Linked DNA regions of Rhinolophus ferrumequinum. The protein of the gene in region 1 interacts with the protein of each later gene in a pairwise test. Links are inferred from orthologs where the notes say so. Each region holds a gene or a part of one and is shown in the gene's direction. Other genes may lie near its edges.

What was found.
Region 2: the proteins of PPP3CA (region 1) and AKAP5 interact in binary tests that used the Homo sapiens proteins (3 or more experiments, as listed by UniProt). The link is inferred for Rhinolophus ferrumequinum from reciprocal best matches to the Homo sapiens genes PPP3CA and AKAP5.
Region 3: the proteins of PPP3CA (region 1) and C15H16orf74 interact in binary tests that used the Homo sapiens proteins (3 or more experiments, as listed by UniProt). The two-hybrid records come from large-scale screens. The link is inferred for Rhinolophus ferrumequinum from reciprocal best matches to the Homo sapiens genes PPP3CA and C16orf74.

Annotation. Positions count from the first base shown.
Region 1 is NC_046288.1:52,516,707-52,524,705, reverse strand, and holds the start of PPP3CA (protein phosphatase 3 catalytic subunit alpha), read left to right. Parts: upstream 1-4,877; 5' UTR 4,878-5,261; coding exon 5,262-5,319; intron 5,320-7,999. UniProt on the Homo sapiens protein: Calcium-dependent, calmodulin-stimulated protein phosphatase which plays an essential role in the transduction of intracellular Ca(2+)-mediated signals. Many of the substrates contain a PxIxIT motif and/or a LxVP motif.
Region 2 is NC_046289.1:31,412,269-31,419,880, reverse strand, and holds the start of AKAP5 (A-kinase anchor protein 5), read left to right. Parts: upstream 1-4,525; 5' UTR 4,526-4,662; intron 4,663-7,237; 5' UTR 7,238-7,503; coding exon 7,504-7,612. UniProt on the Homo sapiens protein: Multivalent scaffold protein that anchors the cAMP-dependent protein kinase/PKA to cytoskeletal and/or organelle-associated proteins, targeting the signal carried by cAMP to specific intracellular effectors.
Region 3 is NC_046298.1:30,897,634-30,905,163, reverse strand, and holds the start of C15H16orf74 (uncharacterized protein C16orf74 homolog), read left to right. Parts: upstream 1-4,418; 5' UTR 4,419-4,615; intron 4,616-6,339; 5' UTR 6,340-6,405; intron 6,406-6,510; 5' UTR 6,511-6,613; coding exon 6,614-6,673; intron 6,674-7,530.

The DNA of each region.
Region 1 (7,999 bases):
CCCAGCAGTAGGATATGAGATATACAAATATAAATAAAACAAATATGAATAGATGTTTATTGAATCCAAAAATAATGATCACCCATAGTCTAGCTAAATTTTATATAAAATATATCTTCTCCATATTAAACTTAGCATGTAATTCCATAAGTTATTGTTTGGTTCCTGATGGAAAAAAATTAAATTTATTCCTGAATACATTTGGTATAACACATTTTTATGTTCTTTGAGAAATAATTTCTAAATGAGTAAAACTGCCTTCTGAAAAAAACCAGGCTCAACAAAATTTCAAGAGCAATGCAAAAGATAAACAAATAAGAGTGCTTTAGTTTAAACCTCAAATAATAAAATCCATGATGACTAATATATTTCATAGTGCCTCTATAGTGAATAGTGTAGAACTCGACATGTTAGAAGTGGATGTCATGGGAATGAACTCTACGGTAATAAATCAAATTCTCATACACAGCCATGGCCCCACCAGGATTGGCTGTCTAGTCTGCAGGTTCTTCAGCACTAGGCTCTACTAGCTCAGGTGAGAATACTTGTAGGTCAGACATAATGTCTACCATCACTTACTCAGAGCAAAGAGCATCCCTCAGAAGAGCCAAACCCAGGAGTTATTTAACTCTTAATATCAAAATGCTAGTAGTCATCCAATAACTAAAAGAAAGTCTAAAATTTCAAAAGCAGATTATTCTGAAAACAAGACATAAAAATACAATATCTTTAATTCATAAAAAAATGCATCTAGCAGAGTACTTAATAGCACACTAAAATTTGCACCAATGCAAATTTGCACCAATGGAGATAAGCTGTGACTTGGAGCATCTGAATGCATAGATGATGCTGAATTTTCAATATTTTTTTCCACACTTATTTATCTTCATAATTAGTTTTGATGAAGTCAACAGTAAAATTAGTTTGTGTCTCCAATAGTGAGAGCACCTTACACCTAAGTTTTTGCAAAGGTAATATGTGTACAATTCTCGTATAAGACTTTGAGACTGTGAACGAAAGAATTAAATCTTTGAAACTTTTACTATATAAATTTATGCATCATCTAGCACACTACCTTGTACAGAACAGGTGTTCAAAACACAACTGATAAATTAATAATTCGTTTACAAAAAAATCAAAACTTGATGCTCATAGACTAAAAGAAATAAGAATATTTTTAGTCTGATAGTCTGTTATATAACAGGTACACAATACATTTGGATTTTACTTTTTGCACTAACATCTTAGATAATCTCTGTGTATTAATTTGGTAATACTAGCTAGCCTAACAAGCATATCCCCAAATTTCAATGGAGAAACACAATACAAATTTATTTCTTTTTTCATGTAAAGTCTAAAGTAGATTTTCTTGTAGGTGAGCATCACTACTTTACGTAGTAATACAGGCACTTAGCTCTTTCCATTTGGCATTATGCCCTCCCTGGGCCCTAGAAGCATCTGCATTCAGCTAAAGGATGGGAACCCAGAGGCAGGAGAATGCTTGTCTACTGCTTAACTGCCTTGGCCTGAAAGTGATAAAACACTTCAGCCCACAGTCCATTGAGCAGAACACGTCACATGAATCCATTTAAATGCAAGCAGGTGCAGGCCAGGAAGTGGAATCCCTACCTGGGCAGATGTTTCCCAGAGAGAAATATACAAAGGAAGGGAAAATACAATTTTTTAGTAGACAGCAAGTTGTAGTTTGCCAAGGTTCTTTTCTTTTCCTTTCTTTTTCTTTATAAGCAGAGGGCCTTATTAAAGTCATCATCCAAGAATTGCAAGTTCTTGAAAATGTAGATTCCAAGTATAAAGCAATCTTATGCAAGTATAATATAATCAAAGTCTGCCTGGGCAGTCTAACATGATTTAAAAAAAAAAAAAATGGCAGTAACAGATAGGATATCTGAAAAAATATCTGAATAAAAAAGATAATTTGGCCAGTTCAGCAGGCAAGGTATGAGGACATAACTAGTCCGTAGTTAACATTCTGTTGGCTAGTTTTCCTGACAGTAGGGTCCACTTTCGTTTAAGAAGATGTAGCAGTATGGAACCATACACGTGCATTAAAGGAACCTGATGATCATAAGATGTGTTGTAAAGTGATTATGATTCATAACTCTTTTTTCTACACATACCTCAGCTAGGAGGTGTCCTAGACTTGTAGCGGACTGAAGGGTGTGCCTCAAAGGTGTGCCTTTATTTCCTATCTGTATCATACAACTTTTTTATGGTGCTGACATTTCAAGTCTCTGATCTTGGTTCAAAGATATTTTTCCTAAACCTGAAAAGTGAGTCCAAAAAATGGTGGGAACTGCATCTTTGTTTGCCACATGTGGGAGAGAACATTGTGGCACTGGAAGTGAGCATTGCGGGGCATGGTTTCCTGGTCTTTCCTAAAGTAGGCCCTCTTCTTCACCCACAGGTCTTGACATCCCTGACTGGCTCTGTGCTCTTTGGCCAGGGACCAACTCCCCATGTCTGCCTTAGCAACTAGCTTTGCCCATGCTCGGGAGACTGTTTCAACAACCCCCCCTTCCTTAGATGATACAGTGACCTCTCAGAGCTCATATTTTTATGACAGTTTTATTGGACACTAGGCTTTATTGAAGGCAAGGACCATTTTTAAACACCTCCTCTTCCCTCCACAAACACCCCACACATAAATTACCTACCACAGTATCTGGCATATAAAAGGAAAACAATACATATTTATTGAATGTACTGTCTGCCTAATTACCACACACTATCCTGGAGTTGTAAATTGGGCATCGGAGTCTTGGAGCCAGTGGCAGCCTCCCTGAGCCAGTGGGACACACCCTGCATGGTCTCCTTTTAGGATAGGCCTTCACAGAGGTTCACGTGCCTTCTAGAGTGAGCTCTTATTCCTCGCAGGCCACTCTGCTCAAGTTATACTCCAGCGCCATCAGTCAATCCCAACAATTTATCAAGTTTGAACTTTAACGTAAAGCCTGCTAGAAAAACACTTATTCAGGTTCCATCTCCTAGCTTCCTGAATCTTTTATTAGGCCTTTTACTGGGTTCATGGTCCAATTCAGAAAACAGGAAAAATCAGATATTGAAAGAATTTGGAAATAAAACAGGAAGGGTCAAGGGTGAGAAATTTATTCAGCTCTTTTCATTATTCCCAAAGAAGCTCCAACCCTCTTGCCAGTCCTTGGTGCTGAGGTTGATAGCAGAGAGGGGCTGTGCGGACCTGCCCTGGCAGAGGGAGACCCATTCCTCGTTCTATGGCGAGGCAGTAGGTCAGAAGGAGCGTTTGGGCCACTGTCACCGTCTGGCCTCCGCCTTGAATTCCCTTTTTGCCCTCATTACAACGGGAGGAACCAGAGTGTGGATCCACCTAGGGCTTCAGGGTCCTGCAAGCATTGGGAGCATCAAATAGGTGTCCGGCAATTGGAAAAGCAGGGAAGGGAGCTGTGGTCCCGACCAGTGGCTGCGTGCGCGTGTGCGAATAGGGAAAAGACGCCCGTCTCCGGAGTTTCTCCCGCCCCCTCATTTCTTTCAGGAGTCCAGCAGGGCTGTCCCCGGTGACTCAGAGTTGCCCCGGGGTCATTTGGACTCCCGTCCCATCCTCCTCGGATAGCCCGCTCCCGCATCCCAGAGTGCCCCGCACATTCCGCCACGTCCCCGGCCCGCGACGCTCAGGAGTGGCCGGCTCCTCAGGAGGTATGGAGGCAGGGGTAGGAAACATGAATAAGCACCACACCGCCCACACAAAAGCCCCAATAGCAAAAACAACTGTACACGCATCACAGGCGGAGCACGGCTCCCCCAGGTAAGCTGTTTATTCGTCACCGTCTTGGCGATTCTCCCTGGGCAGCTGCGGCAGCGACAGCAGCTGTGCGGCGGGCCGCGGAACTCCCCGCGCTCTTCCTTCCTCCGCCCTCTCTCCGTCGCTTCTCACTGCCCCCCTTCCCTCCTCTTCTTCCCTCCTCCTTTCTTGCCCTCTCGCAGGCCACGCACACACGCGGAGATACTCTCCGCACTTGGCTCCTCACACTGCGGCTTAACCCAGCCCGCAAGGCACGGTGGCCAAAGCGGCGCGGGGGTGTGTGCGGGATCCAGGGGCGGAAGCCCAGTGGGCCTGGGGTGGCCTGGTAGAGCCCCTCGCCTCCCAGCCGCGACCCCTGCCTATTTTCCTTCTGTAATCCCGGCCTGCCAGCAACAGTGACACCTGAGCAAGGACTGGGGCAGGCCCGCTGGACTGACTGGCAGCTGGGAGAAAACAGAGCGGGGGGCGGGGTCCGCAAGGAGGAGCGGGAGGCGGGCGGAACCCGGGAGCTGCCACCTGGTAGAGAGTGACGTGCCTGCCAGCCAATAAACGCCCACAGCTCCGACGTCGGGGCGGGGAGCCGGGAGCCGGGGGCGGGCTCCGCAGGGAGGAGGAGGCTGCCGGGGCGCTAGAGGCGGGGGCCTGGAGGAGGAAGGGGAGGAGGCGGAGGCGGGCGCGGTGGCGGCGGCCGAGGCGGCGGCAGCGGCGGAGGAGGGTAGCTTGCGCCCGGGACTGTGTCTGCCGAGCTCCGCGGCTGTGTGTGTGTGAGTAAAGGAGCGGCGCGGGTTGGCAAAGGCGAGCGCGGGCGAGCGCGGCGGCGGGACGTCTACGGCGGCCGCGGATCAGCGGCGGCGCCGGGTGTGGGAAGCGGCGGCAGCGGCGGTAGCAGCAGCAGCAGCAGCAGCAGCAGCAGCAGCAGCACCAACAGCAGCAGCAGCAGCAGCAGCAGCAGCAGCAGGACCGGCGCCTCTCCGCCGCCGGGGACGCCGAGGCGCGGCTGGTGGCACTGACATCGGCGGCCCTGCCTCTCCTCTCTCGCCCCCGGCCCTCCCCATGTGATCGGTCTTAATCCCGGCAGTGTGCGCGCGTGGGGCTCCATTCCGCGGTGCCGGGTCTCCGTGCCAGGGTGGGTGCTCGTGTGTGCGCTTGTTCTCCCCATCCCCCTTTCCCAAGAATAAAAGAAGAACCAAGAGGCGCGCTTAGAAAATAAATAAATAACCACCACACACGCGTGCCCGGAGCGGAGTCGGCGGGGCTGGCGGCGGCGGAGGAGGAGTGAAGGCGGCGGCGGCGGAGGAGGAGGGACGCGCCGAGAAGGCAGTAACTTTAAAGCCAGCTCAGAGCCCAGACCTCCAGCCGAGCGGTTTGCAGCGCGGCGGCAGCGTTTAGTGTCTGGCCCGCCGGTCTGGTCGGGGTGTACAGTAGGACGGACGAGCAGCGCCTCGCTGTCTCCCGGCGGCTGGAGATGTCCGAGCCCAAGGCAATTGATCCCAAGTTGTCGACGACCGACAGGGTGGTGAAAGGTAAGCGGCGCGCCGCGGTCGCCGGGGTGCACCGTGTGCCGCAGGCACCCGGGCGGCTCGCCTCCCCTCCCCCGCCCCGGGTTCTCTCCGCGCTCCAGCCACGGACCTTCTAGGATATTGTGCAACCCTCGCACCCCCTCCCTCCCGCGCCCTTCCCCCACGCCTCCCACCCAGCCCTACTTGGGGCATTTTTATTTATGGGGGCGTCAGTTGGCAAATGGCTGAGCCTCGGGGAGGCGGCTGCGGGGGTGGCGGGGGCGGGAGGGGGCGCCCGGGGGGTGGTTGCTGGCTGGGTGTAGCTGCTGTGACAGAAATAGGAAGTGGGTGGCTGCTCGCAGGCTTGCATGGGATCGGGTTTATGGTTTTCTTTTGCAGAGGGAGGGGTGATTTATGGCTTTTAAAAAATTAATATGGCATTTTTATGTGGTGGAGGCTTTCCACCGACTGCCTGGCTCGGGCAGGGTTCTCTCGGTGCTCCATTGCAGCAATTCCCTTCGCGCCCCCTCCCCCTTCCCCTGAAAGGGCCTGCACAGGACTCGCGAGAGAGCGGGAGAGCGTGGGGGGAGCCCTGCACTCGCTTCCGCGTGGGGCGGGGGCGGCCGCAGGCGGAGGGGGTAGCGGAGGGGACACGCTGGGGGCGAGGGAGGCCGGGAACGACCCGAGAGCCCTGCCACCTCCTCCCCGGGATTCCCCTGCAGGCCCTGAGAAAAACACGAAAAGCAGTTCTCCAATCTCTCTCGCCACCCCCAGCCTTCCCCCGCCGACCTGTCATTGCTCTTGAGTGGTTCCCTGGGAGCACACCTCCCCAATCGTGAACTTGCCACGCTCGTTTCCCTGTGCCCCTGGCACCCCCCCGCTCTTTATTAATGGGCTATTTGATTCTCCCCGGGCGGGGTATGTTATACTCCTGGCGGGGATGGTTCTGGGATTTCTGGCGGAGAGAAGCCAAGATGATGAGTGGGGCGAGGAAGGGGACAGATAGTGGTCTCTTTCTTTTTGGCACGAGGGAATCCGCCGTACTTATTGTATTTCGTGGTGGACTCCAGGAGGAACCATCCTACGAATCCTGGAAGGATGAGACAACAGGGCAGATCCGCCAGGATTAAGTAGTACCCCTCATTCCTGGGGTCAGGACACTGGGGCAGAGCAGAGCTGGGCATGGACTAGGAGCAGAACTGGCCTTCGAAATTGGAAACCACGCTGGCTGGCGGGTGTGTGTGTTTTCTGTAGAATACAGATACTATCTAATGTGGCCAGAGCAAACAAGTAGAGTGCAAGGCAGTCAAGTCTTTTGCATCATGAGCCTTTTAGGTGAAGTAACCCAGCAGCCTAAGGACCATGATAACAGAAGTCATTCTGGGGCTTCTGAACTGTTCATTGCTCTATTCAGGTTTGTTCAGTTTTTAAAGTGTGTGTTGCGTGGTGATGGGGGAAATGTGGTCTCCTTTTTAAGAAAGAGAGAATAAAATATTTTGTTTTGGTTGTATTAGAATCAGTCCTGCTTCAGTGCAGTCAGTATTCATAGACCATCAAAACTAGGAGAACATATCTCTGCAAAAGTGACTGGAAATAGGACTACAGATGCACAGCTATTCTTTCTGCAGGCATGGGCCCTCCTTTAAACAGTCGATTCGTATTCATTCCAAAGAACTGTATTTATATTAAAATCTTCTGTTGACATATTAAAAAATTAAGACCTTTTACTGAAATACCAAAATAACAAATCTCTCCCTAATGTGTGAAGTTTAGGGTGTAACTCTAATCTGTAGGTTAAGATCACCTATTTTCAAAACAATGTAAAGCTTACAATTCAAATGATAGCAATAAGTGTGTCAGCAATTAAAAAACACTCGTGCACACACGAAACTAGGTTCTCTGTTTTAAATCACAAAATTATGGGTTCTTACTGTAAATATAAAATTGTCACCAAGTGAAGAATGTAAAAGTGACTGTTCATACATTCAGGCTCCCAGTCTTTACCATTTAATGTGAAAGAGCCCATTGAACCATTCCTTGGCTGTTTTGTCTTACTTTTTTTGACAATGCTATATTATACTGTGTTTCCAAGAAAATAAGACGTAGCCGGATAATTAGCTCTGTTGAGTCTTTTGGAGCGAAAATTAATATAAGACCCGGTCTTGTATTGTATTATATTATATAAGACCCTGTCTTATATTAAAATAAGACAGGGTCTTATATTAATTTTTGCTTCAAAAGACGCATTAAGCTGATTATCCGGCTAGGTCTTATTTTCGGGGAAACATGATATATATTATTATAAATGGTTTTACATTGTAAGTACATACACTATCCATAATTCCAAAAATTCGGTTTACATATTATTGCAGAATTGAAATGCAAATATGAGTAATAGGCTCAAAATAGGAAAAGTTAATTTTGCATTTGTTTTGATAGGGTGATGTGAAATTTTGAATGTGAAATTTCTTTTCTAGAAAAAAGTTTTAATGAATCCTGATTTTTAAGGTGGACAACTGTCACTATTTCTCTTATCCTTTCTTGTAGACTATATTGTTGGCCTAAAAGCTTTATCAAGTATTGGATTCAACATTTTGTCATACACATAATTTTTACGATTAATTATTTGAGATGATAATCTATTTTGATGATTAGTCTACTATGAAATGGTTCCCTTTGACTATGTATACATGTGCTTAGTGAG
Region 2 (7,612 bases), on another chromosome or scaffold:
GAGGACACATGTCAGGAGAAGCAGCATATGGAGGACGTGCCTTCTTATCATATACCTTTCTATATTGTTCCTTTTTTTTTTTTTTTTTTTACCTTGGGAAAAGATTACACATACAGGTTTTTGTCCTGAATTTCCTCGGAATTGCCTTTCCTGTCACAGCTTTAGCACCATTTATTTCAAGAGTCCTCAAAGAAGTCTGGTCATACAGCACTAACTGTAGCTTAGCCCTTTTTGCTCTGTTGGTTCAGCAAATATTTATTGAGCTTTTACCAAGTAATTGGGCTCTACTCCCTACAGAATGTTTTTTTTTGCTCAAATGTTTTCCCTTCTCTTTTTCGTTTTCTGTCTGTGTTCTTCCTCTCCCGTTTTTTCCCCCCTCGCCCGCTTGTCTTCCTGCGTTGGATCCTTCCAGGAGATGTTGCGTTCCCCACTGGTGTTGGCAGAGCAATATTTTTCCTGACATCTTTTGTTATATTATTTTTAATCCCCTAGGTTCACATCGGTGTCGTCAGACAATCAGTTTTGCTGTCCAGAGAAATGATGGCAGTGCTGGGGGGCATATGGCAAAGGGGTCATGAGCGCAGAGCCCCGGCTCCCCCACACTTTCTTCACAATGGTGGGGTCGAGTCCTGTTCTAAAGCATCATCCGGGCCCTGTCTGCACAGAGCTCACTGTTTCTGATGTGTTTTTTTTTTTTTTTTAATGTCCTCTAAAACCTCATCTGGAATGGGACTTGCTGGGAATTCAGTTTGTAAACAAGGGAAGAAAGCAGTCTATTGTCAGACATGGTGACTTAAGATCATCTTAAAGGATTTAGGCTTCCTCATATCACCAAAAGCCATGTGGGTTTCAATCCTTAATGTCGATAGGAATAGTAAACACAATTGGTGGGAGAAGAGGTTTATAAGTCAAAGATGATAAACAAATCTCTAATACAATAAATAATGCAAATTCTTTTTACCAGGTATTGCTTGGAATAAATGTAGCATCACCAATGCAAGAATTTCCTAAGTAGAAGTACACTATGCCTTCAGTAACAATTCAAATGGTACAACTTGCTTTTTCCACTTGGCAGTATATCTTAGAGATCTTACTATAGTAAGATCCGTATTTTAAGATTTATCTTGTTTCTTACAGCTGTGTGGTATTGATACAGTCCTATCAATGGACACTTACTATTGTTTGATAATTTTTGCTATTAAAAATGATGTAGCAGTGAATACATGTTATTCCCATAACATGTATCTTTGCAGCTTGTGTAGAAGCATCTATAGGACAAATTCCTAGCAGTGGAATTGCTCAAAGAGGGACATCTAGCTTCAGAATGAGAGCTGACCTTTGGTTGGAAATGTGGAGATAAATTATAATAGAACAAATATATAAATTAGGTTTATATGTCCATTTTACAGAAGGGTAAACTTGAAAATTGCATTGCTGCTGCCTGCCAGATGAACTGAAGATCATCTGAGTCCAAACCTCTGCTCTTTACCATCATTCTGCCTTACAGAGCCCTTCTTAGAAGGCATCCCTTGCCAGGTTATACAGAAATGGACATCCCATTTGTGATAGGTAGGAAGCTGTGCCCATTTCACATCCCTTCCGAAGGAAGGAGTAATAAAAGGTAGAATTAGGGGGAAGAAATAAAGAGGTTAAGAAGGCTGCCAACCAGTTATTGATGACGTGGGTTTTGTGGACTTGATTCTTTAATCTGTGATAAACAGAAGGCATAAAAAACAACAAAAAATAACTACAGACTAATTGGAGACCTGAATTCAAGACCTACAGGAATATTAGTGTTTGGGGTATATATTAGTATGTGTTGCCAGACAAGGTCCAGTGCCTTTATCTTGGGGCTAGGAGTCCTCCCAGATCACTGGTCTCGCTGTTCCCATTCCTACCCTTTTCTGGGCTGCTAATGCCTTCCCTCCCCATACTAGTAATATTACTGACAGATTATACCTTCTTTGATCTGCACCTTAGAGGCTGTTGCCATTCACTGAAGATGGATATACACTCAATTCAAAATAGAGACAGCACTTATGAGCTGTCAAGTGAAACATTACAACAGAGTTACTGCTGAGTTTGTGTTGGCTGGTGCAACCCTGATGGTACCTAGGAACAGATCCAACCACCAGAGAACTGGAGCTAATTTTCATTTAATGGTGTACCAGGGTAGAAGAGGTGGTGGGCTTGTTCCCAGAAGGTCTCTAAAATGTAAGGATGATTACCAAAGAGTTGGAAACCATTTTTGGTAGCTACAGGCTGGTAGTGGACAGGGACCAGGATGGGAGAAATGATCTGATCGGTAGAGATAATATAAATATGTAAGCTATTTTACTGGGACGTTGTATCTGGTAATGTTAACAAGATAAGTGGTAGGTAGGATAATTTCTCATCAAATTGGAGAGAGATATTTATAGCCTGTTTCTCATTATATAATGAAAAGCTACTAAAGGAAAAGCAGACAATGATGAGAGTAATAGATTACTAACTGTCACTTAAGTGAGTTCAGGAATGACAGCTTTCTTTCATGCATGAGGTACTGTATACTTTTTTTAAAAGATATGACATCAGATTGTGTTCATATACTAAACAAAAACCATAGTGCAGTATTTTATTTATAATACTATACTAGGAGAGTGTGTGTGTGTGGTCGAGGTCAAAGATGAGTTATTCGTAATATACCTTAGAATTTGCCCTTCAAATACAAAATCACTTCGCCTCTTAACTCAAACCACCCATCAGTTCCCTTTCACTAGTCTTTTTTTTTTAAGACAAGCAGGTGGAATAAAATCTACAAGTCATTACAGTGGCCTTTATTGTTTTAACCTGTTCCTTGTTTCGTGCCAACTACTTCCTAATAAGACAGCTGTGCTACCCTGTCTTCATCTAGATAAGCTCATCTCATTTTTACCTGAAATGGTTGCAAACTCCCAGATATGCTAGATTTGAAAAAACTTGGATCTCAGTGAGTAATCGCATCTCAATTGGTTATGAGTGGTATAGATTATTTTTGGCTTCTTTAAAGTTCAAAACTGTCAGTAAGCAGGGTTAACAGCCCATCTGAGGATATAAAGGACATTTTCACAGACTGGTGTTTAATGAATGAGCAAAGGTAAATTTAATTCTTTTTTTAAAGATTGAATTATTTAAACTAGATGCTTATGGGTTTTCCTGTATTATAGCTCTTGTCTCTTACCTGTAAATTTAAGATCTTGACAACTTAGATTGAGCTTTGCTATTGTGTCCTAATAGTTCTTTCCTTAAGTCTGAGTGAAAGCTATAGAATCTCAAAAGGTAAAATATATTCATGGGAAAACATCCAAAAATGGATAACTGAGATTTACTTTCCCAAGATCATGATCCTATTGAAGAAAGGAGGTAAGGATAACTGCTGTTGAGTAGTTCTTCCCTCCATAACATGCTCTTCATCTGGATGGTGTGCCTGGGAGGGGACAGAGGAGGCAGGAAGAGGATATCCTGCAGGACCTCACATCTGGAGCTTGCAGGATTGCCCTTGTAGGTGATAGTAAACCCAAAGCAAGTCATCGTAAGCTCTCATAGCAACACCTTTCACCGGTGTTAATGAAAACAATGTGTTACATGTACAAATAAGTGCTTGTGGTGCTTTTCACTATTGCTAGCAATTTGTTTAAATAAAGACTCTGAAAAGAACCTAGCCGGTCATGCAGGAGGGAGTTAGATGTTGCCTGTGCCCTTTGCTCTACGTGGGACTGGAATTGTAAGGAAAGCCGTCTCCTGTTCTCCACACCCACCCCATCCCACCCTCTTGAGGGACAAGGTTAAGCTGGGAAACACAGATAACTTGTAAGCACCCTCAACTTAGCCTTGGAAATACGTAAAGTATAAAAGGTGGATGGGGTGGGGCTGGGTTCCTGTGCCCTTCTGACCTTGTCCACACACAGGTGGCATCATTTCTACCTGTCCCCTAGACTAGGGAGACAAGACTCGGGTTTGGGTCTCTGACAGCTGTTTGGCAATGAACCGTGATAACCTCATTATACCCACACCCACTTCTGGGAAAGTTGTTGTTTTCTGTTTCAATTCACATATGTAATTTTCTCTCAAACGAGATCCCACGCCGCACAGTTTTGAATCCTACCTTTAAAATGTGATATCTGCTATGTCCAAATATTCGGTGTGTATGGGGCGGGGGAGGGGGGTTTATAATAGGAGTGCCTATAATTTAAAACCAGGTTTTGCTACTTTGCGTCTCAGAAAATGCGGAAATCATCACCACTCTGGTCCCCTCCCCATCTAGCGGCTCTCTCGGTGGTCCACCTGCAGTTCCCCGGATGCGGTCGCGCCGCGTGAATTCGCGCCCAGGCTCGGAGCGCGAAGGTCTGCTCCCACGTGGCTGGGAAGACTGCTCGCAGGTGGACCTGCTGATCCCCGCCCCCTCCCCCACCCGCCCACCGCCCCTGGCTCCGCCCCACTCCCGCCCGCTCGGCGCGCATTGGTGCTGCCGGCTGTCAGTTCCCGCGTTCTGGGGAGGGGGTGCCGCCAAGACTGCGGTCCATCTGTAGAGGGCTGCTCGCTCCCGGTGCGACCGTAGCTTCCTGGCTGCCTAGGTGCCCGGCCCCGCGAACGACCCTCAACCTGGGCATCATGCACCCCCGGTCAGTGACCTCGGCGGCCTCGGTGAGTGAAGGAGGGCGAAGGGGTTGCGGGGAAAGAGGGTGCGGGCCAGTGTCTGATCCACTGACCGCCTGCGCGGCGGGGTGGGCCGAAGGGTCGGCTGGACCCCCGAAATCTGCGTGACCCGGAGATGGCCGAGGTAAGACCCGCGAAGGTCATTTGTCCGCAGGTATCTCCTGTTTGCGCGACCCTCATCAGCTCTACCCACCTACCCTCCTTAGCCTTACAGTTCGTCCTAGAAGCATGGGTTGCTGATAGATTTCTCCTTCTTTGCCCTTTATTTAAGGAAATGTGATTTGGGGTTTCTGGCATTGTTATTGTGCAGATAGCTTGAAGCTGGGTTATCTGTTGCACGCCCCCGGCACTTTCCTTTTTGAGTACTTTATCCTGCGCTCTAGCTCCTTCCATAAGAAGCATCAAGCCAGAACGAGAGACGTCTTCCTCCAGGAGGAAGCTTCGTGGTCCACATCGGGTGCTGGGAGAGTCACTGCTTTCCTCGGGGAGTGGTTGCTCTTTGCTTCCGTGCTTCTCTGCTCAAGGGAAAAGGGGAAGGGGTATTTTCTATGGCATTACACTTGCGATTGATTCTGTGAGGAAATGACAACAGGAACTTGAAGATTCCTGAGGCGAAAAAACTACCCTGGCAGGCTAAGGACAAATCATTTGCAGTCTAACATTTTGCAAAGTTTTAATGTCTACAGACTGCATTTTCCCATTTTAGTTTATTGTTTGGTATTTGTTTTATATCTACAGTGTGGTAATCGTTCAAGTGAGCTTTTCAAACAGTTGTCTTTGAGCAATTCATGTTAGTTTCAAATGATACATTCCTAAACGTGATCTAATTTCACTATTTCTGTTAATTATACATCCTCCAGTTAAAAGTTCTCAGGTGCTGATAACTCACAAGAGGGGAGAAGACTTAAAGAGAGGTATAATCAGCTGTAGTTCTGCTTATGGAAGCATTACATGAGGAGGGACACTAAAAGTGTTCCATATTTTAGTTCCATCCTTGTTTTAGGATGACTTTGTCTTTCGGCCAGAGGCGTGGTGTATGTAACACCCAACCTAAGGGAGTATTTACTTAGATCATAAACCAATTTTCAGAGTTCCAGTTCCTTCTGTGGTTCATAAAATCAAGAGCTACCCAAATAAACCTTAAAAAGTGAACGATTTACAGAGGGGGAAGTACAAGAACTGAGCCCTTTTGTTTATTTTAGGACATCGATCAACTGAAATTCATAGGGTTTTTATTTAGACGATCACCTCATCTGTACATTGGTACCATCATACCATTCTGTGGATTAATTTTTAAATATACTTTTGTATTTATATATAACAGTTTGCCAGTTGTGCAGCTTATCATTTATATTTGGCTTTCAAATTAGTTCTAAAACCAAGAAAATCAAATATAAGGAATTTCAAAAGCTTGATTTTAAAATAGCAAGAACTCAGCCTAATCTTGATTCAATTATAAATTGACGGGCTACATTATGGTTAAATAACCAACCATTCAGCCTTTTTAAGATTTTTGACTAGTGAATCTGGTGCAGAGTAGCATCTCCAGACAATTCATTTTTCTGATGAAACTCTTAAAACACAGTTTCAGAGCATGGGCTTCAGAAACAGAAATAGCCAATCTTGGGTTGAATCTGGCTCCGTTACCTACTAGTTGTGTAACCTCTCTAAGCCTCTTTCTTCATTTGTAGATGGTGATACCACCACCTTCTCATTTTGTGATACTGTGGGGAGGGTTGGAGATGTATGTAAAAGTGCTTGGCACTGCCAAACACACAGAAGTTGCTCAATAAATGGCAACTATTATGATCATTCACTCTCACTGACCTTCAACTATGTGCTTACAAAGGGAAATGTTTGAACAGCAAATACTTAGAAAAAGATGTCAGCATTATACAACTAGATTTAAGAGTGGAGAAAGACAGCAATGTTACATTTCCCCAGAGTATGTATGAAAAGTAGCACTTCACCTCCTTGACGGAATGTACAGTTCAGAACAGAAACCTTGTGGTCTAATGGAAAGGACATTGGAGGGTCAAGGTCTTCAGTTCTAACTGGGGCTATGACCTTATCTAACCGTATGGCTTTCAGCCGGCCAACAGCCCATTCTGGTGCTCAATTTCTTCATCCTGACTGGATTTGGTTAATCTCAATCTCCACGATCCTTTGTAGCTTCAGAATTCTGTATTGTATGTAATAAAAATTACACTAACTTGCTTATCACCTTACATTCATTGTTTTTTTGTTGTATTTTGTTTGTTAACTCACAATTCAGAGTCACTCACAATTCATAAAGACAGCACAACTCAAGAATTGGTAAAATACCAGATTTGCAGAAAAATTCAAAATGAAATTGTAACAGAGAATAGAGCAAAATACATTCATATTGAAATCTTTCTGAAAGGGCAAAAGTTAACCCCAATTTTTATTCTCCAGTCATTTTCAGTAAGTTATTATATGGGAAACATGTCTGATATTACATACATTCAACGGAAGTAGTCTCTATAGAAAACAATAGACTGATGATAGTGAAATAAAATACCACTTTCTTTTCTCTCATCAGGTTGATCTTTAAATAAAACAAAAATCTATCAAGTAAAGGGCTTTCGTGAAGAAATTAAAGAGATAAATAACAAGTAATAGAGAAACCAGGCATTTGTATACTGGAGAAACCACCTCAAACAACTGTATGGAGTAAAACGAAAGGAGTGAATACATCCAGAAGTAATTTTGCTTAGTATGATATTTTTGCCCACTTTTCTTGTCATCAACAGATGCTAAGGAAGAGAGAATATCATTTTCTAGAAAGAGAAAAAGTGTAACATAAAAATGGAGACCACAGTGTCTGAAATTCAAGTAGAAAGCAAAGATGAGAGGGGATCAGCAAAAGTTAGTCCTCAGGATGAGAGGCAGGAGGAAAAAGCATCGATGCTTTGCT
Region 3 (7,530 bases), on another chromosome or scaffold:
GAACTGGGATGATCTTTAGTTGCCCTTTGGCCCCCACTAAGCCTCAGGCCTGCCTGCCTCATGTCCTTCAGGGCTTATAAAGTTTTGGGGGCCAACCACACCTGTCGGCCAGTGATGTCTCAGCTCTGCCCCTCCCTTTGCTTCCCCTGGGCCCCTCTCCTGCTGTGGCCCCAGAGTGGCCACCCACCCCCTATCATCCATTATGCCACGTTTTGGCAACTGAGAAGGGGCACAAGTGAGAGGGGCCATGCAGACAGAACCAGCCTCTCCTCTGTTTCTGGGCACAGCAGCCTCACAGAGATATTCTCTCCCCTGCAGCTCCCCTGGGCAACTCCACTAGTTGGGCATTTTGGTGGATGGCTTCGAGAGTGGGCAGTGGCACCTGCGTCTTTTCTTAGAATGAGGCTGGTTCCCTGATCCCCAGAAACCTCCCGAGGACTTGCAGTTAGTTCTTCATTTGCTCATTCAAACCCCCGCTTTGTTCTGCAAGGATGTGTGGAGCACCCGCATTGTGCTGGGCCCTGTGTCCCATGCTTGGGGTGACGGCCAGCAGCGGGGACCTGCTCCCTGCCCTCCTGGGGCTCACCTGCTAGTGGAGAGACAGCCCTTCAGTAATTGCACCGATGGACCCACGGCAGGCTGCAGTACCCCCAGTGGGGTTCCAGACTGGCAAAGAGACACTTGCTCAGAGCCATGAAACAGTCACTGGGCAAGGGTGGGGGGAAGAAAGGACATTTCAGGAGGAGGGAGCTGTTTTACAAGCCTGGTCCCTTTCTGCCTTCCTTGGGCCGCACCCTGAACCCAGAGACCCCACAGCACAGGGTTCCTCCTGATAGCCACCCGGCTTCTCTGCTCTCTCCAGGCCTTCCTCACAGGCAGCTTCTCAGAGTCTCTCTGTCCCCCTTGTCTAAAAGGCTAGCCCCCCACCCCACCCTTTACAGCCTCCTACTCTGTCCTATTTTTCCTCCTTAGCACTCAGACTCGAACATCCATGAAGGGCAAGGGGTTCTGACATCTCGTTCACTCCCCGTATTCTCAGCCCCTAGAACCGTGCCTGGCACACGGTAGGTGCTCCGCCAATGCTGGAACTCTTGTTGAATTATGCACTGGAAATTGCTCTCCAAACTGTTAATCTCCAAGGGAAGAAAAGGGGTGGAACTGCTCTAATTACTTACTCCTCTCCTACTGCCTCTGCAGACCAGGAGTCTCTCAGCATGGTGATTGGGCTGAGAAGGGAGAGCATTAGGGGACACATGTCAGCGGCCTGATTTCACGTCCTTACACACACACACCCGGGGCCCACACCTAAGGAAGCCCCACCTCCAGCACCTGTCTCTTCCCAAAGCTCCAGGTGATTCTGATCACAGGCAGGTAGCAGGGCTGCTGCCCGGGCTTAGTCTCCCCGTTTGTGGGTTTAAGGCTGATCCCCCCTCCTCTTCAACTGCTGCAGCTGCTTCCAGATGGGTGGTGCAAGGTGAGCCCACTGAGCTGGACTGTCCTCCCAGGGCGTCCCCACCACCAGCTTCCCATTGCTCCCACCACAAAACCAAGGCCACGTTTTCAGGGGATGGGGCACCTCACCTGGCTGCCAAGGGGCAGGGTCCAAGGGGCTCTCTTTCTCGCTTTTCTTTTTATATTTTGGAAATTTTGAAACACATATAAAAGTAGTGCGGATAGTATAGCGAACCTCCACGCACCAGTTTCTTAACTTCAACAATTGTGAACAATTTTTTCATTCTTGTTTCATCTCTCCCCTGCCCCCACTCTTCATTCTGTCACCTTTTTATTTTCCTGGACTCATTTAAAGCAAACCTAATGTTATGCTAATTCAGTCATAGTACTTTTCCATATGAATCACGAAGGGCCTTAAAGATAGTTATGCGACTATCACATCTATTAAAATGAGTAATACTTTTAAAATATTATCTAATACCCAGAGTGTGTTCAATTTTCTGCTGTTATCTCAGAAGTATCTCTTTGTAGTTGGTCTATCCAAATCGAGATCCATACAGGTTTCCCATACTGCACTTCATTGATTTGTCTCTTCAGTTTCTAGTCTTGCAAGTGCGCCCTGACTAGCTTCGAGGTTCTCCGTGGTAGCTGCCTATGTCCTGGGAGCTTTCACAAAACACCCATGCCTGGGCCCTACCTGGACCAATTAGGTCAGAATCCTTGGGGTGAGCTGGGCCTGGATGTTCGCTTTATTCGTTTTTATTTATTTATGTGTTTAGCTTCCTGCAGTGATCCTGGCATGCTGCCAGGGCTGGGAACCACTGGAACATATGTTGGGATTCTCAACCGGCAGGAGCGATTGTGCCCCCAAAGGGACATGTGGCAAAGTCTGGAGATGGTTTTGGTTGTCACAACTTGGGGAGGTGGTTGATGCTACCAGCATCTGGTGGTTTGAGGCCAGGGACCCTGCTCAACATCCTATAGTGCCCAGGACAGAGAATGATCCAGCCCCAAACGCCAAAGTGACTTCATTGAGACATTCTCATATTGAAGCACAAACCCCACCGGTCTGAAGGGGTGGGGGGAGGTGTGGGGAAGGAGGCCAGGTGAAGGGAAAGCAAATTAAACTGCATTCTTTCCATTCCTTATCTCAACCCCATGTAGTTGACAAAAAGAATCCTGCTAGGTCTCCTCTCATTAGTCTCCCCTCCCCGCCAGGTTAGGATTGGGCCCAACTCCCCTGAGATGGGCGGCTCCTCTCTTGGCTTGAGGCAGGAGAGCCCAGGAGTAGAGAGGATGGTGCATATCAAAATGTACCACTAATGGCCTGGGTGACCTGTCGACTTCCCTGTGCCACAAGTCCCACTCCTGGAAAATGAGAGAATAACTGTCTGTCCCTCAAAGGGCTGTTCTGAGCAGGTGGTGACATCAGGGTGCATGCATAGGTATCCTGCTCACTGTGGTACCCAAGTTGCTAGCACAGAGTAGATGCTCAAAACTTTTTGTAGAAATGAATGAGTCCCTATTTCTCCTTGTGGAAACCAGGGCGCAGAGATGGGCTGATCTCACAACCAGCGCACAGCACTCATCCTGCTCAAGGCTTCTCAGCCTTTAGAAAAGGTCCTTCTCCACCCTTCTGGAACAAGTATGGGGATGGCTGTGCCTACCATCCCCAGGGGCTTCCCCCACACCTCCGTTGCCACTTTTAGAGGAGACGAAAGGACACAGGACCCTCAGTAACCCACTTTCCCTCCAAGGGTGGGGAGTGGGAATAGGTGGAAGGAACATCCTGCCTCTATCCCTACCCCCTTCTGTCCTTCTCTTCAGGGAGGACATGATACATTTTCTGCCCGTCACTCTGGACTTGATATGGGCAGGGGAACAAAGAGACTGCAACATCTTTAGGGATGATTCAAGGGGAGAGCACAGCTAGGATGCTGACTCTACTTCCTGCAACTCAGTTCTTGACTGCAACTCAGTTCTTGACTGCGTTCACCAAAGGAATGTCACTGTCCTGCTGTGTGACTCAGTTTCCCCTTCTAATTCTCCAGAAGGACGCAGAACACCTGGTGTGGAGACCTGGTGCGTGTAAGATGGAGCTGGTACAACAGGCTTGTGACAATGACAGGAAAAACACGTGGTAGGGGATCGCTTTTGTTCCTCCAGGCAAGCAGGATACTGCCTGCAGAGGCCGCCTCACAGTGGGAGCCGCCGCCTAAGAAACCCATGTGGATAAAAGGCCCTGCACCCACACCAAGGGGTCTGGGGAATTGCTCCCCGCTAGGAGGTATCAAAACCCTGAAGCCTGTCCAAAGGTCAAGAGACAAGTCCTAACACCCCCATTTGGCCTGCACCCCCATGTTCCCCTCACAGAAGTGGGGTGTGAAAGCACGTGCAGAGAGCGGAAGGGCAAGACCCTAACACAGGGAAGCTGCATTTTGATCACGAGGAGCATCTGAAGCCCCACAGCTCTAGCGACAAGATGGGGAAGGGGCGCACTGCTTACGTGACCCCAAGGCCCAATGTAGGGCTGTGGGGCTGATGCTGGCGAGATGGGGGACGTCTTGCCTCCCCTCTATGCAGCCAGGCAGTGGGGCGCACTCAAGCATGGGTGGTCCTTCTTTTCATCACCCAGGGCTGCGATGCACAGCTTCTGGGAGCTTGGCACCCAGGTTCGGGGAGGGGCGCGCGGTGGAGAGCCCCCCGCCGCCCTGGACCGCGGCCCAAACTTTCCCCAGGTTCCTCCCGGGCCGGGGAAGAGGAAACTGAGGTGGGCAAGGGGAGGCCGGTGGCGCGGGCGCCGGGCACGCCCCGGGCACTCTCCCCAGAAAGGCGGCGGGAGGGCCCTGCTCCGCCCCCGCAGCGCCCCGGCTCCCGGCGGGTGCGATCCGGCGCCTGCGGGCAGGGCGGGGCTGCAGTCAGCACCGCCCCGAGGGGCCGGGGCCGGGGCAGCGGGAGGCGTGCGCGAGCGGCGGTGGCACGGTGCGCCGGCCGGGGCGGAGCGGCCCCAGCGCACTGCCCGGCCCGGGCCATGACCCCCGCTGCTCTCTCTTGCAGGCTCGTCGCCGCGGCCCCCAGAGTCCGGCTGCCGCCGCCGCCACCTGCGCCTGGGAGGGCCCTGTGCGCCCGGGGCGCGGCTCCGCAGTGAGCCCAGCAGGAAGCGGTGAGTGTCCCCCGCCACGCGCCCCCGGGTGCCTGGACCGCGATGCCCAACCCACCCCACTCCACCCCTTCCACAAGAAGGTGCTCTTCCCGGGAGCCGCAGCCCGGCTCAGCGGCGTCCACGCCCGCAAGCTCCAGCGGCGGGAGGGGCGCGCTCCGGGGAGGCTAGGGGGGCCCAGGGGCGGTAGGGGTCCCTCACGGGCCCGGGCGTCCCCCCAACTTCTCGCGGACTTTTCTGCGGAGACCCAGGTTTGGGGAAAGTTGGGCCCTCTCTGGCCGTGTTGTAACTTGCACCCGGCGGGTAGGGGTGTGTCCCTACGCGTGGGACCTCTGGCCCCCCACTCTCCACCTGATCCCCTGCGCTGTCACGAGTTCCTTGGGAAGGGAGCAGACCGCCATTCTTCAAAGCTGGAAAGGAGCCCGGCCGGGGTGGGGGCAGGAGGCATCGAGAGGAACCATTTCCCCTCTATCGAGTATTTAAAAATATATTATTTATGAACCGCCTCACTTAGGGGCCCCCTTCGCTCCCAGGGCATCAAAGCAGGTTTGCAACCGCAAAGGCGATCAGTGTGAAGGCACGCGCGACTTCTCCTGGCCCGCTGAGCTCAGCAGAACTGAGGGGAGGCGTTCTTTACAAAGAGGGGGACCCACAGCCCCACGGGGCCGCGTGGTGGTCGGGGTACCCGGCAGTAGGGCCTTCTCTCAGACGGCCCCTGGCTGTTAGGCTTGATAGAATGGAGAGAAAAGTGTGCAGGCCGAGCACCCCTGAATCACTGAGGAAGAGGGAGGAAAAGGAGTTGAAAGGCAGCCAGGAGAAGACGCTTAGAAGGTAGTGCAGCCTTTGTGGAACAAACATCCCATTTTACAAATCAGGAGCCTGAGGCTCAAAGGCACTCCTGGATTGGCAGGTTCTGGGGTTTCCTGTCCAGCTCACAGAAGTCCTCGGGAAGCCCCTGTTTGGGGCTGGATTAACTCTAGAAAGCACCCCCTAACCTGTCCAGGCTACACCTACCTTGGGTTCTGTGTCCCCACCTCTAGGTACTCCTTCTTCTGGATGGGAGGGAGGCCGTGTATTTAAGGAAAGACTTAATCCCTCTGCCAGCTCCAAGGAGGATGAAAGCTCTGCCTCCTAATCTCCTATCCCTGAAGCCCTTCCCTTGCTGGTGGGGTCCCTGCGCCCCAGCTTTAGCTCACGTCTGGAGACTTCAAATGGAAACTCCCCTCAGTGGACACGAGAGCGATGATATTTAATGTTTAATGTTTCGTGTGCCAGACCCTGCACTACGTGCTGGTGCCAAACACCCGCATTTTCTCTTTGCATCCTCTGACCCAATACTGTTATATCCCCATTTTACAGATGAGGACACAGAGGCTTGTAAAGGTAAAATGACCTAAGGTCACAGGCACAGTGGCAAGTCCAGGCCTTAAACCCTTACTCCTCACAGTGAATTCCTCTTGAATATAGCAGAGGCCAGGCCTCTGAGACCACCAAGTACAACCCGCCCCCCGCCCCCATTAAAAGATTTTTAAGATATATGCACACAGTTATATGTACACACCAGGGAATCCCCAAATCAAGGAACCCTCTCTTGTCCCTCCTAGCCACGCCTCCCCTTGTGTCCCCTTGAGCCAGTGGGGCGTTCTGTGTCTTCCACAGGCACTGCCACATTGTAGTTACTTTTTATCTGGTGCAAAGAACACATTAGTTTACTTTCATCTTTGCAGGGGATGAGCTGTCAAGGACTCACTGCTGTGGGCTGGTAGTTTGTGACTCCTATCTTCAAGGCTGCGGTAAAAACAATTGCATGCTTTTAAATTAAGCCTGTGGTTAATTAACCATTCACTTGACTTCTAATAGCATACTCCTTATTTTTAAATGCCCATTTCTCTGGACAGGTACCTTGGAAAGGTGCACAAAGCGTAAGCATTGATCTTGATCATACGGGAGGCTGAGAGGAGCAGTGGGCAAGTAGTTTGCTCCAAGTCCCTGGGCCGATCAATGGGAGGCCAAGGCTGGACCCCAGGCGGTCCAGAGCCCTGCCTGGTGACAGAGAAGCAGGTGGGGATTTCAGTGGGCACCCTGCTCCTACCCCATCCCCATCTTTTTTCACTTCCTGTTGGTGAGTCCCCGTGGACCCTGCAGCTGCCCTGCCTCCCAAGAGGAGCTCACAGCCTCCTGCAGGTCTGTAGGCTCAAGCCAGGGAGATGCCCCTGTTTGCCCTCTGTGTACCAGGATGGGAGACATGTTAACGCTTGTAGCATCTGTTTCCAGCACAGTCCCTTTGGCTGGAATTGCAGGAATTCTAATCCTGTGGCAAGAAGAAAATGCCTTTTCTAAAGAAGGAAGAAAACCAAGATTTGCCGTGTGCCTCCTGGGAGCCCGGCAGGGTCAGCCCCTGAGTACCTTCTTCCCTGTGTTTACAGGAGGGAAATAGCGAGACAGCTTGCCCAGACTGCCCCAGCAGGGAGTGGAACCCCATTCCATCTAGTTTGGTGGGTCCACCCACCTTGTCAAACTGTCAAATTCCTCAGCTGTGATTCTTCACTCCCGCCCCATCCTTGGTCCTCAAATGAGGTCTTTGTTAAGGAAGTAAGGTGAGGTGCCATGGTGAGTCATGACCTCCAAGGGGTTGTTTTGATTTCATCTGGGAGGTGGCTGTAAAGAGACCAAGATCAGACTCCTAGCCTGACCCTGCCTTTCACTTTCCCTCTCGGGGCCTCCATGGCCTCATCTGGGAAACCCAGGTATAGAAATAAGACAACCTCTGCATCGGGTTGCCAGATTAAGCAAATAAAAACACAGAACGCTCAGATAAATTTGAATTGCAGATAAAGGATGACTAATTTTCAGTATGAGTATGTCCCATGCAATAATTGGGCATCCTGTGTTTTATCTGGCAGCCTTTTACCTACAGC